Linked DNA regions of Stegostoma tigrinum. The protein of the gene in region 2 purifies or fractionates together with the protein of the main gene of each other region. This does not show direct contact. Links are inferred from orthologs where the notes say so. Each region holds a gene or a part of one and is shown on either strand. Other genes may lie near its edges.

Region 1 (7,975 bases), on a different chromosome or scaffold from region 2:
AAAAAATCCATTGATCTCCATCTGAAAAATCCCAATTGATCCTCAGCATCCAGTCATTTAAAGGAGACCGTTCCAGATTTCTATGAACTTTTATGTGAAGAAGTGCTACCTTAATTTGATCCTATATGGCTAGGTTGTGTCCCCTTGTTCTAGGTTACCCCAGCAAGGATTTTTTTCCCTCTATTTCAAACTAATTAAATTCCTTTTCATTCAAAATGTCCCAATTGGATCCCCCTTTGAATTTTTAAACTCATGTGAATAAGAGGGAAGTTTATGCAACCTGTGATCGCTGAGCCCTGATATTGTTCTGGGGAATCTGTGTTGTACTGTCTCCAAAATCAATATATTATTCTTTAGTTGTCGTGCCCAAAACTGGATGCAGTTCCGCAGGTCCCAGAGCAGGTTAAACGGAAATGAAATTTACTGCTAACAGGCCATTCAAATAAAATATTTGTTGCAAATCATCGAGTGTTATTCCTTCAGTTGGGTGTCCTATTTCAATGCAGGAAAAGTCATGGACAGAATGTTAAGGGGAGTATGGTTCCATAGCAGCCAACAGCACGTTCCGTATAGACCGCCGGGAAACTCTCCTTTCCAAATGGCTTCTCCCCTTTTTCCGAAAACAGGAAGGAGAATGTCCTGGCTGGAAAATACAGCAGTGTTGTCCAATAAGTGAGCCACAACTGACTAATTCAGACTCCAGATGTGGATAATTGCATTTCTGATTAGTAAATTAGTAATTGGCCACTTTGTTGAGCCCATGATCTCGATGATCGTATCTTGTGAAATGCACATTTGTGAACTTTAAACTTTCTAGCAATTTATGGTGAAATGGTAAAACAAAAGTAGTGCTGCGTGAGTAGTGTTGTTCATTAAGTGTTTTAGTTCCTTGGTTATGAATGGGTGGCAAGTGTGGAAGTAAATATCCACATGTGACATACGCTTACCTGTGTTGTGAGCTAGACAGCTTTAGATAAGGGGTCTGGTAGTGCAGTGGTAGTATCTCCACCTCTGAGCCAGGAGGCCCAGATTCGAGTCCCACCCGCTCCAGAGATGTGTCGTAACATTCCTGAGCAGGTTGATTAAAATATCTGAGAAGTTTTATACTAAAATTAGTAACTGTGGCTAGACTTCTGGTTTGTTAAGAGGCTTCTATGAACAATACTGAATGACAGATTAAAAAATGAAAAATACCTAGATCAGGTGACATTTGTGACAACAGAAAATAGAGTTAATAGAGGACAGATGTCAGAGGTAGATTCTTTACTCAGAGAGTAGTAAGGGCTTCAAATACCCTGCCTGCAACAGTAGTAGACTCGCCAACTTCAAGGGCCTTTAAATGGTCATTGGATAAGCATATGGATGATAATGGAATAGTGTAGGTTAGATGGGCTTCAGATTGGTTTCACAGGTCGGTGCAGCATCGAGGGCTGAAGGGCCTGTACTGTGCTGTAATGTTCTATGTTCTAATATCCCAGATCATTACTGTCAACATTAGCCCTGTTTCCCTCTCCTCAGATGCTGCCGGACCTGCTGAACATTTCTAGCATTTTGTTTATTTCAGATTTCCTGCATTCACAGTATTTGGCTTTTAGATTGTGTTATCTGTAAAAACAGCTCAAGAAATGATTCACAGAGAAAAACTGTATGGATTATGCTCCTGATTTTCTGTCTCGTCATCTACTCCCTGTTTAATATCTCATTAATCCATTGATTTCCCCCACCATCTCTGTATTGATCATTGATAATGGGAACTGCAGATGCTGGAGAATCCAGGATAATAAAATGTGAGGCTGGATGAACAGGAAGGGTCTAGGCCTGAAGCGTCAGCTTTTGTGCTCCTGAGATGCTGCTGGGCCTGGCTGTGTTCATCCAGCCTCACATTTTATACTCTGTACTGATCATTGTTGGGTTGCGGGTTTTATAGGTACTGATCATTCTTGGAATGCCATCCCAGTAAAGCAAATTGATCAGGGAATTTGACTTTGGAAGGCAGCGCATCTGAGACTGTTCTGTTTTCCAAGGTGGGGGAAGAGGCTGGCAGTGGGGATGGGAGCTCAAAGGGAACAGAAGTGAGATTCAACATCTTCAAGAGAAGAATGGAGTCAAATCACAGTGAAAGCCAGCTCCTTCTGGATTGGAGGAGACAAAATTTTAAAACCAGCTGGTTCCAGAAGTTTAATGTTAAGTATAAATCTTACATAAAGATGTATAACACATGTTCAACAATTATTCTAATCTGAATAGTTCATGGTTGCAACTGATATGGCTCCTTTAGCAACTAAAACAAAGCACACTGCCATCACAGGGACCTCATCAGTAGCTTCCTTGACAGAAAGGTTAAGTTTAATAATTTTAATGGCCAACAATAATGAATGAACAAACAAACTGCTATTGAACGCTTGATTATAATTGCAGTAATACTTAGGCAAGTTTAAATTCTCAGAGTTTTACATCACAGGATGAAGCCTGTGCCTGGTTCTTTGAAAGAGCTATCCAGTTAGTCCCACACCATGTTCATTGCCTTGGAAATTTCTTCTTTGCAAACATATCTCCAATTTAAGTTGAAAGTTTGCGCTGAAAATTTCTATCAAAGCAATGTGTTTAATAAAATAATTTCATTTTTCCCAATTGCACCCTCTGAAGTCACTGGCCCATTATTAGGGGTTAATCAGAGTACTTACTTGGCTGCATTCTGAGGCGCAGGTTAAACCAGTTTCGAGGTGGGGATCCGTATTTATAAAGGACAGAGTTCATGGTCAGCCCTGCAGACAATGCCACCTTAAGTCAAATGCTGAGCTCCAAACAACTGCTGGACAGGCAGCTTTAGAGTAACTTTCTCTCCACACATCAACCTAAAAATATCCACAAGCTTCAACAGGAGGGACTAAATTCTTCTCATCAAATTCCCAGGGTCAGTATATTTCGTTATCTTCCATTTCACTCAATCTTGCCTGTATTGCTGTCAGTCTTCCTTATTTGGTGCCTGTCTCATTTTGGTGGTCTCCCTTCCCACTCTCATTTTGCTCCTTTCTAGCAGACCTGAGTATCACTCTCATTCATCCTTTCTTTAAAATCTCTTTTTGCTTTCCTCTGTCTTTATTCGGTTTTCACTGTTCAACGTTTTTCTCTCATAATCCACCTTTTACCCCGTTTCTTTCGTTTTCCTTCACTGCCTCTCTTTTCTTCTGCATCTTCTTCTCACTGTACTTTTTTCTTTCACTGCATTGCTTCCTTTCTGTCGTTCCTTTTCCCTTTATGCCACTCCCTTTTCTCTTCTCACCCTTTCTTTCCCTCCGTCCCTCCCTTTTTCTCTGTTGCTCCCCTTTTGGCTATTCTTTTTTTAACTTGACTCACTCAGACAGTTTCACTGAAGCCAAACCCTCCAATATCTGACCAACATTCACAAAGTTCGATTTCTTCAGCATCACCCACATGATGCCCATCACCATAGCAGCAAGAGTTCTTCACAATACGGTAGTACCATTCTGCAGCCTGAGCACTGTCTCGCTGTGCAGACCCTGAAAGTTTGTCTCTGTTTCGTATACCACTGCCGCGTCCTGTTCCTCTGACTAGACTGCAGATTAATTTCCTCTCCAATATGTTTACCTTTACAGGATCTGTCTGAAGCAGCCCAAATATTTCAGAGATGGAATTTTCTCCCCAGCCACAAACATGCGGTGCCCATATTTATTTTCTGCCACTGTGCAGTCCGATTCTTGTGCCAAGTCCTTCTGCAACAGCCAGGATCAACATATGGAGATAATTAAATCGGCTGAAGCTTTCTGTCTCTTAAAAAGGCAGCACAAAGGTTTCCAGGAGATAATCCGGCATTGGGTTCTAAAGCTCAACAATTTTCTCCAAAATTTTCCAATTAAATAAAAGTAAAAACAATTTCACCAGTTCATTCCTAAATCAAACTGTTAGGTATATTTTTTCAAAAAACTGTAACTTTAAAAGACATGTCCAAGACTCCTGTTTTTGTAAAGTGTGCTTTAACAAAGAGTTTCCTGTGGATTGTACCTCATTACATCTGCAAAAAGGCTAAAAGGAAGCTAAATCGTTGAGCTGGTTTGAATCGCGAGCCAGGATTTCACTGAGGGTGGAGTGAAGGGGTTCCTGGTTGGATCTATCCCATACAATGAACCAAAGAAAAGCAACGATCAGCATAGTGAAGCAACTTACAGTCATTGGGGACCCCACAAACGAGTACAGCTCAGTGCTGGATTCTACTGGGAAAATTCACAGCACAAATAAAGTGTTTACTCCACTCTCTTCACTGGGATTAAGGTTCCCTGCCCTCATGAAGGCACTGACTCTCAGATGTGTTCAAGAGCTTCCTAACCAGAAGGTGTTGGTCTACACAAGATTCAGTACCTCCCTCTTCTCCTGAAGGTGCCAGCTCTCACAGTAGTTCATACCCCTGCTCTCTTGAAGGTATGGAATCTCGCTGGGGTTTAAGTCATTTCCCCTCCTGAAAATGCTGACTCCTGAAGTTTCTTTGTCACATTTCTTCTCCCCCTGACATCTCACCATGCCATTCATCAGCTGTGACCACAGATGATATGCATCAACAGGAAACTTGACCAGAAATCATCACACACAGTACAATTCTACCCATCAACTTTCCAGCAGGAGTTAGTGGTCAGCATTGAGTGGTCACACTTACTCCCTCCCTCAACCCATGGTCAAACCACAAAAACAAACAAAAATCAGTGGAGCTCAGAAGATTGTCCTGAAATAGGTAACTGAATGTTAAAACTGGGAATCCAATTAGAACGAGGGACTGTCGCTGCAGTAACACTGATATATGAATAATGAAAATATTCACTTTAGGATGAATGCATTTGCAAAGACCAGATGGTAGTTATCGCTTGGTGAAATACCTCCCCTCTTGTCTGTCAGACCAACTCTGGCCTTCCTGTTGTTTGTCACTGCGATAAAGCACCTTGCTCCCATGCCAACTTTTCTGAGTGGGGCCTCCAACAAAACTGAATACAAGCTATCCGAACACCTCATTTTCCACTTGGGTAATTCACAGCCTTCAGGACTCAACACCGAATTCCACAACTTTGGAGCATGACCTCTGTCTCTATTTTTCTTACATACTGCCAATGTATCCTGTAATGCTGACATTTGTCTCAATAGACTGGACCCATTTTCTCCTTTAATCACATTCATTTATACCTGTTTTACATCTCCATCACCAACATTAGCACCCCTCTTGTCTTTCACTCTGGGCTCCCTCGCAATTTGTTCCAACTACGCAACCTCCATCTTTGTCAGCAACATAAAAACAATCACTCTCCAGTTCCGTTCAGCTCTGGAGAAATCAAATCAGACTGAAAACATTAACTGTCTTTCTCTCCATTGATGTTGCCAGACTTGCTGAATTTCTCCAGTTCTTTGTTTCTAGCGATTTTTGAGAAGATTTATAGCTCAGGTTGAGTTTCTGGATGTGAGTTTGCTCGCTGAGCTGGAAGGTTAGTTTTCAGACGATTCGTCACCATTCTAGGTAACATCATCAGTGAGCCTCCGATTGTCTTAGTTTCTATTCTAAAAGACTAGCTAAGCAGCAGGAAGCAGAGAGGCAGGATAATGATCAGGGACTGTAATTGGCAGAATGTGATTGGGGTAGAAACGTCTAGTCAAACTTTTCCTTTGTTATAGATGTCCTATGTTTAAAGTGCATTCTTATACATTAGTTTGGGTGCAGATTTATTTAATAAAAGGCAACATTCCTGAATAACAACATCAGCCACCACCTTGCTTTTCAATTTAATGCAATTATTACAGTACTATGTGTATTGCAAGTGCACCAAAATTTAGTATCCATTTCAGGGCTGACCTGGTCTTTTTTTTGCTTTCAACTTCCACAACTAAGCATTTGTACTCGACAATAAAATAAGAACAAAACTCATGACGCAGAGGAGCTGCTTTCTGGCTTCAGGAGCTGCATTGAACTTCTTTCTCCTTTCCCATGGAGGTGACAAGTGGAAAAGGAGAGTGTAACAGAGAGGCCGCCATTGCTGTGTTTACTGAGGCAATCCAGCCTGAGTTCATGGCTCACAGGAGCGACATTAAGTCATAGGTAATGCCATTAAAGAAGGCAAATTGAAATTGGGAGGTAGCTACTTGCCAAGTAAGATTCAGAAGCCTTTGACAAAAACCAAAAGAATTGCGGATGCTGTAAATCAGGAACAAAAACAAAGTTGCTGGAAAAGCTCAGTAGGTCTGGCAGCATCTGTGGAGGAGAAAACAGAGTTAACATTTCAGGTCCGGTGACCCTTCTTCAGAACCACATGTCTTTCCCCTCTTCAAAACCTTGAGCAACTTTATCAACATGGAGGCTCTCCACACTGTATCAACCATTGGTTGTCACCCTCTTACCTCAACCAGGAAAATATCTTGGCTTCAACACTGTGCAGGTACTTGAAGGTGCTGCCCAGGTCAGGCTGGCATCTCCCACCAGTCCCAGATGCTAGCCTTTGATCATAGAAACACATAGTTAAAAGGGGGATTTCTAGCAGTTCCTTGTTTCTGGTGCAATGAGCAGGTGTGAAGGCAGTGGACTGGCTGAAGGAACGAGAAGCACATTTCTATATCGCAGAATGTATTTCTTCAGCATACCATTCTTCAGAGGGAACATTAGGCGTAGCACATAACAGATGACTGCATTGTGTAGTCAGATTTCTTTCCTTAGGAGGCCTAGCATGATCTCAACATTAAATATTGACAGAATTGCTACAACGGGGCCACAGTTAACACCTATCCAATAATCAGCTTCAAGATGTAAATCACTCCCAAAGGGAGACAAGATTCTGAGTCTGACTGACATTCACTACTCTTTCATCCCTGCTCCCAGCAAGGCCAGGCCACTCGCCAATTATGAAAGCCTGCTTCAGTTAGTAAGGGTTGATGGAATGGATCCAGATTTTAAATTTCAATGTGGAAAATTTGGTCTTTCGGTAAGCTCGTTGTTAGTAAAGCAATTGTACAAACAGCAAATTTGTTCAACTGCACGTGAAATGTTGTCCATGACAGCTGACAACCATGGAACCCACATCCACGTGAGCCAATACCTGTGAAACCAATACCTCAGCTGAAACAAGTGCCTGCAGGATTCATACTCCAGCAAGCGACAGTGTGTGTGGATGCTGAAATCCAGACAGTGAGCTCATGAGACCCATACCCCAGTGAGTGTCAATGTCTTTGGAATGCATGTTTTGGTATTTATGGGAACCAGCACCCACTGAACCTAAAAAACCCAGTTTGAGTATCTGTTCTTTAGGTAATGCTGGGAAAAATGTTATAATTTTTCACAGCATAACAGAACAAGTTTTGAAGTTATTGCAATTTCAATATTTCCTATATTACTGCTACATTTGAATAAATATGCTATGCTTTTTGACCATTTTCCATCAAGGTCTGAAAAACTGAAGGTTTCTATTGATTGGGAAAATGTTAAATTCACCGATGGCTTAGGGGCGGCACTGTGGCTCAATGGTTAGTTCTGCAGCCTCACAGCACCAGGGACCTGGGTTTGATTCCAGCCTCAGGTGACTGTCTGTGTGGAGTTTGCACATTTTCCCTGTTTTCCCAGTGTCTGCATGGGTTCCCTCCGGGTGCTCCGGTTTCCTCCCACAGTCCAAAGATGTGCAGGCTAGGTGGATCGGCCATGCTAAATTGCCCGTAATGTTCAGGCGTGTGTCAGTTATAGGGGGATGGGTCTGGGTGGGATGCTTCAAGTGGCGGTGTGGACTTGTTGGGCCGGAGGGCCTGTTTCCACACTGTGGGGAATCTAATCTAAACTCAATCAATAACACTTACATCACCACAAATCCAAGCTTTCCAACAAGCCAAGAGAATTGCAGCAATTGGAAAACAACAGCAAAATCAGGGTAACAAAGTGTGCAGCTGGATGAACACAGCAGGCCAAGCATCATCTCAGGAGCACAAAAGCCGACGTTTCGGG
Region 2 (8,749 bases):
AGTAACAGGGAAAATGCTGCTCATCTGTTATAAAGATAGTGATAAATGGACACTTGGATAAAAGTGACTAGGGCGGCACAGTCAGCATGGATTTCTGAATGGAAATTCATATTCAACAAATTTATTGGAGTTTTTGAGAATATTACTAACAGAATTGAAAAGTGAGAGTCACTGAACACAGTAGGTATTTTGAATCAACATGTTCAGACATGTTGTGACACATTTCCAATGACAGGGCTTGAACCTTCCAGCTTAGAGGTAGAAATGCAACCGCAGTGCACAAGGCCTCTTATTAATATAATGTGCACAGATTTTCAGAAGGATTATGATAAAGAACACTGGGGGTACAGGAAGTTGCTTAGTAAAGTTAGAGCACATGGGATAGGAGGTAATGTGCTGGCATGGATTGCTGATTAATCAACAGACAGAAAACAGTGAGTACGAAAACAAGTGTTCTTCTCATAATTACACACTGTGACTGACTAGACAAGTAGAGCAAAGATCTATACTAGGGCCCAGTTGCTCACAATATATCAATGATTTGAACATCGAGCCAGTCCTGCCTCCAGTCGTGAACGGTGATGGACAATTAAACAACTCACTGGTGGAGAAAACTCCACAAATATCCTCATCCTTAACGAAGGGTGAGCCCAACACATCAGTGCAAAAGATAATGCTGAAACATTTACAGCAATTTTTAGTCAGAAATCCCAGGTGGCTGATCGTTCAGAGTTAATACAGTTTCATGAAGTAGAATTCATAATTAACCAAGTAATTGGTGTTCTTTGAGGTATGGATAAAGGGGATGCACCATGCTTCAATTTCCAGAAGGAATTTGATAAGGTGCCAAATCAAAGGTCATTACAAAATGTAAAGCTTTAGGCATGTGTTACAACATATTGGCATGGATAGAAGTTTAGCTAGCTAACAGGTAGCAAAGAACATGCATAAATTGGTAATTTACTGGCAGTAAGATGTAATGACTAGTATGCCATAGGGGGTCAGTGATAGGGCCTCAAATTTTTATACATTATGTAAATGAGTTGGATAAAGGGACAGGAAAAGCATGATTGCTCAATCTGCTGATGGTCCAGAGACAGGTAAGAAAATAAGTTGAGAAGAAGACATAAGGAAACTACAAGAGGATATAGATAAATTGAGCGCGTGGGCAAAAATTGGGCAAATTGGGTATAATGTTTTCCCATGTGCAACTGTGCATTTCTGCAGGAAGGATTTTAAAAAAAACAAAGCATCAATTACAGAGACCGGAGACGCAGAGGAATCTGGTTCTCCTACTACATTAATTACAAAAAGCTAGTATGCATGTACTGCAAGTAATTAATAATGGTTAATGCATATTGCAAGGGGAATTGATGACAAAAGTAGGGAGGCATTACTTTGGTTGTACATGGCATGGTGATACCAGATCTCGGCTACTGTATATACTATTAGTCTCCTCGTTTAAGGATGAAAGCAATTGCATTGGAAATAGTCCAGCAAAGATTTACCAGACTAAGACCTGGAATTAGTAAATTGTCTAATAAGAACAGTTTGGACAGGATTGGCTTGTATCAGCTGGAGTCGAGAAGAATAAGAGATGAATCAATTGAAACTTGTAAGAGCCTGGGGAGTCTTGATAGAGTACAGATGGAAAGGATGTTTCTTCTTGGGAGAATCTAGAATTTGATATAACTATTTCAAAATAAGGTTCAATTAATACTGAGATATGGAAACCTTTTTTTTCAAATACTGCCAGAAATATACGGATCTCATTTCCTTAGTTAGCAGTGGAAGTAGTGTCTTTGAATATTTTTCGTGCTGGGGGTAGATAGATTCTTGACAAGCAATGGGGTGAAAGGTTATTGCAAGTAATAATAAGTATTCAGGCTAGCCATGATTTAATGAATGGTGTAGCAGGCTCAATGTGCTGAGTGGACTATTTCTGGTCTTAATTCATTTGTATATTTAATAATGTACATTTGTCCTTCATATCTTTGCCGGTTGTAAGAGTTATCCAGTCTTTTCCCACTTTTCAGCTCATGGCTAACAACTCAGTGTATAATGGTACAAGTCCATAGCCAAGTATTTTTTTCAACGTACTAAAGATTTCCATCTCTATCATCACTCCAGATAGTGAATTTCAGAGACCCACTATCCTCTAAATGAAAAAAAAATCCTCAACTACTCATTCGCTGTTCTACCTTTAAAAGAAAGTGTTCAATGATCAATTCTCAGCTAATGGAAATAGGTTCTCTTGAGCGACTCTGCCATAATTTTCTACATCGTAGTTATAGCTCCCTTCAGCCTCTCATACAGACCCAAACCATCCAATCTTTCTCCACAGTAAAATTCTATTTTCCTGGTAATAACCTCATAAAACTCTTCTGTACGCTTTAGTGTCATCAAGTCATTTCTGTACTATTGTGAACAAGAGCTGTATGTCTTTTTTTGTATTTATCGTGCGTAAACTTCTTAATCATGATTCCTCCCTCACTTCTTTCCACAATCCCCACGCCCGATTAAAGCTAAATCATTGGAATATACCACGAACAGCATGGCACCCCCTACTGACCCCTATGGAAACCTATTAGTCACGGCCTTCCATTCACAGAAGTGTCAGTTCAGCACAATCCTTTGTTTCTTAGCACTGAGCCTAGTTTGGATCCACTTGACATGTCATAAATAGGTCATTCAGCCCATCTTGTCTGTGCCAGGTCTCTGCAGGAGCAACTCAGCTAATCGAACTCTCCTGCATTTTTCCTGTTGCTATACAAATATTAACACCACCACAACCTCTGGCATTGGTAATGTGGAAACATCACAGTCCCCACATCACTAGGTGGATAGGAAAGTTTTGCCTTGTGTCGCTGTTATGTCCAATCATCTTAAAGCTGTTCATTGCGGATCCAGATCCTAGAAAGAGTTCTTTCTCTGCATCTACTCTGTTCAGAATCCTCAAGATTTTAAATTTTATCAAATTTCCCCTCACCCGGCCTTTACCCAAGGAGAACAGTCCCAGTTTCTCCAACGTATCCACAAAACTGAAGATCCGCAACCATAAATCCACTCTTGCAAATCTTTTCTGCATCTTCCCCAGTGGCTTTACGTCCTTACTAAATGGTGCGGTATAGTGTACTGATGAGGGGTGGGACCATGACAAAATCCCTGCTATGGTAGACTACACCTAAACGTGCGACCTATCCTCCTTGCCACCTTCTCCAGAGAAATGCTCTTTTCCCCTCAGCTAAAATCAAACAAAATAATCGCTGGCTAGTGGGAGTTCTGTTGTGCAATAGACTAAGAACACACTTTCTTACGTTTACCACAATGACTATGCTTCAGGAGTATTTCACTGACTGTCGAGTGTTGGGATCGTTAGGAATGCATTCAAGGCTGAGGCAAGATTTTTTTTAGTTCTCGTTTTCAGTCCAAACATTTGTAAGAGTTAGGTATTGCGGAAAATACAGGGGTGTTATATGAGAGAACAAATAACTGCAAAAGTGACATTCCATACGATTCAGGGTGGACAGGGGAAGCAGGACATATCGTGTGACCCACCCCTTGTATGATCTGTTTCTAATAATCCTGTTCCCGACGAGGAGTCGCCGCTGGGAACGCACCTTCCGATTTAAAATGAATGAAACAGAGCTGGTAATATTCACGGTCTGCGTATTTCCGATACAGATTTAATGACGGAACCGCCCGTCAAGTGGAATCCCAAAAACATCCTGGTTAAACTTTGCTTATGTTCCCGTCATGGAAAACAGACAGAAACTTGTTCCTTTCCCCGCCTTCTCGAAATAGATTACTGAGCAGCCTTATTGTTCCATAGATCCCGCCCAGAGTTTATCAGCGGGGATTTCCCTGACCCCTGGTGTTCTCAGTACTACATTTCTGTTTTAATATCAGCGTAAAACCACCGGCTCTTTGATCTCACTCTTCCTGACCTCCGTTTTGAGCTTTTACTGCCATTTCTTTGTCGTGCCTTTCCCGTTGTGAATTCCAGCCACAGCCCTTCTCTCAAATAATTCTCTTCCACCACTACTTCTGGCTGTTGCTATAGCCAGATATCTTCACCCATTTTTGTATTGTTAAATTTCGTGAAGATCTCCATCCTCACATCGCCTCGTTCTACAGGTTAACTGGGCATCCAATTTACTCTGTCCAACTCTCCGGCTGCAGAACAGATTTTATTTTAGACTGAAGAGGGCGTCAGATTAAAATACCGGGGGACTTTTTGCTTGCCTTTTTTTCAGCGTGGTGCTGTCGTGCAGCATATCCAGAAAAAAAATCATTTCTGTCGCTGTTGTTGTACAGTAGTGGCGTTTCCATCCTTCGACTCGTTAAATAACGTTTCCTTGTTTCAATTTTGACTCATACGTACACCTTAATAACAGGGTTACAGGCTTAGTCTGAATTTGACTTCTCCTGACTTTAAGACGTTGAGGGAACTGCCATGTATTCCTAGCATTTTTTTTAAAGACTTACAATTATTTCTTTCTGAATCTTTTTCAGTCTTCCGCACCAATGATACGACCGAACGATGAGACCAATAGGCGAAGCTTGGTGTTGCAGATAATCCAGATAATCGAACATAAAGCAGAATGGATGATTAGAAGTAAACAAGTCCCCCTTTTTGCTAGAATAACTCCACACAAGAAGTCTAAACTTTCTTGTGCTAGAAATAATTTTGCGAAGATGATCTGAAAACAATTACAACATCCACACAGTAATGACTTTATTCATAGCATCTGTGTCATTTCGACCTTATTAGGCACGTACTTTGTTCTACTCTTCTGCATAACCCTTGATTCCTATCAGGACAGATATAATAAATCGAAAAGTAATAGCACACCTTTGGAGCAGGTGTGACTTGAATCCAAGCCTCCTGGCTCAGAAGTAGGGACGCTACCACTGCACCACAAGATATGTTCGGAATTAAATCAAAGCAGCGATATTTAATCTCTGAAAGGGTTAAGAGTAGGACCTGAATGGTAATACAGATGGAATCCAAAAGTGACCACATGAAGCTGAGGTCTGCATCATAGGGCTCGGTTGGTTAGCAATGGGGAAAAAAATGGGAAATTCTGCGCTTGCAACATAGTTGGTTATGAGAATATGACCCTTTTCCCTGCAGTAAGCAGTGGGAAGCAATGAACTGCCGGCAGCACACTGACTGATTCTGGGCAAGGTGGCTCCTCCGAATGGCAAGGGAGGTAGCCAATGGCAACGCGTCAGGGTGCGTCACAATCACGCGGTGAGCCAATCGGCTTTGGAGGAAACGGGCACGGTCTCTGGTCCTCTCAATGGCGTGAGCGAGGACCCAATCAGCGACGAGAAGAGGCGGGATTGATTGGCGTCGTTCATTGAGAGGGTTGTAGTCCGGAGCTTCAGGCTTGGAATAGAGAAAACTACGCTTCTGGACTACTAAGCCTCAGCCTGATTCTAGCTCCACCCTTAGTCTATGTTGCTGAACGGGGCTGGCCCAGAGGTCCCCACGGACTTGGAGATGTTATATGAGAAGGTGCACGGACCCAAAGCAGCAGTAGTTGTGGTTGGAGCTTCCAGTGCTGGGGAGGCGGGTGGATAGATACATAAATATAAGCCGCAAGACTCTCCGCTTTTTTTTCCCCCAGAGAAGAAGTCAGTGCTCCTCACATCACCGTCTACTTTTAAACGGCTGTTTGCCACCAGCGTTTTGCAATCCGGCGATATTTTGTGTTTGATTTTTTTTTAACCCTCACGCCAAATCTACGTCAATGAAGGAAAGAAGGCCAAGCCAGAAGCTTGCTAAAAACGCAATGGATAATCAAACCGTGAAATGCAAAATAGTTGTGGTGGGAGATAGTCAATGTGGAAAAACCGCTCTGCTGCACGTTTTTGCCAAGGATTGTTTCCCGGAGGTATGTTGTTATATCTGAATGAACGCCTATGTGAAATGACTAATGCTTCTTTTTGAGTTATAATTTTTCCAAAAACCCGACGCATTTTTTTTCTTTTGTCATTGTGAATGAATTTTTAACATGTGTCCCTGAATCAACGTTCTTAACGGCTGGGATTCATTTTACGCAATTTAACAACTTTCAGTTCCTTTTCAAAACGAATGTAACACGTGCAATTGTTTTAAATACTTTCTTTTTTTTGCTTTTTGCGTTCTTCTTATGCCATCTGTTTTCAAAATGTTTTGTGTCTTCTACTTTCTTTGTGCCCAGAGCTATGTGCCCACGGTCTTCGAAAATTACACAGCCAGCTTTGAAATAGAAACACAAAGGATAGAGCTGAGTCTCTGGGATACTTCAGGTAAGGAACATTTGAGGTCTAGGACTGTCAAGTACTGTTGGATGAACCCAGGCAGCATCTTAAAACACCTTCCAGGCTTCAACCATAATCGGTTGAGTAACCTGGCCCTTCTCCTTCAAGGGAACAGTTGGGTTTTATCCCCGACCCAATGGGATGTTTGGGAGACTGATATTCCAACTAGATTTTGTGAACACCGCTGACCGAAGGCTGAACAAATGGGGCTGGTGTCAGTACGTGGTTTGCCTTTATACAACTCAGACCCGGCTGGTTTAAATCGCATTCTCTCGGCATTCCAGGTGTGAAGGCAGGTTGACCCACTGATGTTTTATAATGGTCAGGATCTTAAAAGGAAAAAAAAGTCGCCCGCCGAGAGCACTCCTCCTGCCTGTCGCGTTGCTCCAGTTGTCTAAGTTTCCAATCTAAAGCATTGAAATCGGGGAATGCACATTCCTTTCAATTTTCCGGTTCAGTTGGGGTATTTACGGGCACGGCGGGAGGGGAGAGCTAAATTGGGAAGATGCCAGTTCCTTACTCCTCCGGAGGTTTCCCTTTTTTTCCACTCCAGAGACTTGAAACGTTTGTAGGGGAAGAGAAGAGAAATGGACTTACCCGTGCGAAAATTTAATTGCACCTCAAGTCTCGGAAACCATCCATCCACCGCATTTCCACCCTGTTTATTTACTGATCATAATGATGGTTAAACCTCTGCGTGGGCGCATTTCATGCAATGATTATATTACCGTTTCGAAGAATTCTGGAAGCGATCGTGGTGAGATGGTCCAAAATTCTTCAGCCAGAATTTGTGAGCGTTCAAAGTGTTGTCTTCTCGGGGCGCATCAAAGATTAAGCGCGGAGGCGAATTGAACGCCTCGATCACCGCACTGGAGTTTGATTGCTTGCAAAACTCTGTGCCCATTAACTATTCTTTAAACGGTTTCCATCTCCGTGATCCCACGGCGCTGGAATGTCCCCTTTCCAGACTGGTATGTCAAGAATTGCGTTGACGAGCCATCAAAAACTGCCCGCATCTCAAATTCGAGCGGCTGCGAGAGAGAGAGAATGTCGCCCCCTGTTATAGATCAGTCGCTATGTCCATTCTCTCTGCTTCCCTCTCCACACAATGTCGCTCGTTACATATTAGGGAGGTTTTTTATGACTCCAAATTTTACACGCTACTCGCTACTTCGCTACTCCAAGCTTAAAAACTGTTCATTTGGACAAGAATAAGATTCTTCCTCCGTCATATTTCTTAATTCTCCCGCTGTATGTACCCATTTTATACCCAATGTACTATATGAGATTCCTTTTGGGCAAGATGATCTTAATTTTGAAATTATGCCTGTTTTAAGGTACTGATAGCAAAATTCAGACAGTAGTTATAAATCCTATAAGCAGACAACTCAAAACACCTAACAATTAAAGCTGACTTTCTCAAAGTCTCTCCTTTTCTTTTAAGTTTGTGAATCTGAATAGCTAACTGAATACATGTATCCTCTAAGTTAGGTATCTTAACTAACTGTGGAGAGCAGTCAGAAGATTTGATTTTGAAACTTCCCATTTTACAATAATGGAACACCTTGGATGGGGCATTCCAATTTTATTGTACTAAAAATGAAATTTAATGTTTGCTTAGATTTTAGTTTCCTCTCTCTGGGAAGCAGGAACACTGTTTTTCTTTGAAAAGTGATGTGGTAGGAATATCTTGACTTGGATACGCTTTCACTGCATGTGATAATCTGAGTGTTGTTCCTGATAATATTTGGTTAACTTCTCTTACTCCACAGCGTTGACTATCATGGGCTGGTTAATTACTCATCCCTCTTAGTAAATTTAATGACCCAGGACAGTTATGTAGTTCCAAACACATTAAGCATCCCTACTGAAACAAAGCAAGAGCTTTCAAACAATTTATGAAGGCAAGTGTGGTGCTTGTTATTGGGGCACCTCCCCTCTAATACCAAAGCAACGGCTTTACCAGAGATCAGAACTCCCCGTGCACCCAAGATTCCTATATTCCTTGTTCTCTAATTCAAAGTAGCACTGACAGAGGCTTCTGAGAAGATGTACCATTTACGTTTGAGGTCCAGCAGTGATAATGAACTTGGCCCATCTTTTGTTAAATGGGCTCATTTGTGTAAATACACACACTGTGATGCATGGTTTGAGAATAACTCCCTCAAAATACTCAAGGATTGTTTTAAGCTTGTAATTAAGTTATATTTCTTTAGAGATTATATAACCTAATGACAGTGAACATATATCAGAGTTTCTTGCAAATTTCAGAAATAAAATTTAATGTAGTGTGTGAATTGATGTGAAGATTTCTAATGAGGTTAAGCAAAAATAATCACAATGTAGATGATTCCATTACAAGATTCTTGAGCTGCTAAAATGACTGCCTTGCTATTTATTGCAGATACTGTGCTACAACTTGTAACACTAAGTGACT

What was found.
Region 1: the proteins of rnd3b (region 2) and pleckstrin homology domain-containing family G member 5 purify together in Homo sapiens (affinity purification with western blotting; 3 studies listed by BioGRID and IntAct, with this or other methods). This does not show direct contact. The link is inferred for Stegostoma tigrinum from reciprocal best matches to the Homo sapiens genes RND3 and PLEKHG5.

The regions. Positions count from the first base shown.
Region 1 is NC_081381.1:27,694,217-27,702,191, reverse strand, and holds the start of pleckstrin homology domain-containing family G member 5, read right to left. Parts: upstream 3,271-7,975; 5' UTR 2,758-3,270; coding exon 2,685-2,757; intron 1-2,684. UniProt on the Homo sapiens protein: Functions as a guanine exchange factor (GEF) for RAB26 and thus regulates autophagy of synaptic vesicles in axon terminal of motoneurons. Involved in the control of neuronal cell differentiation.
Region 2 is NC_081360.1:85,776,199-85,784,947, reverse strand, and holds the start of rnd3b (rho family GTPase 3b), read left to right. Parts: upstream 1-5,368; 5' UTR 5,369-5,759; coding exon 5,760-5,903; intron 5,904-6,212; coding exon 6,213-6,300; intron 6,301-8,749. UniProt on the Homo sapiens protein: Binds GTP but lacks intrinsic GTPase activity and is resistant to Rho-specific GTPase-activating proteins.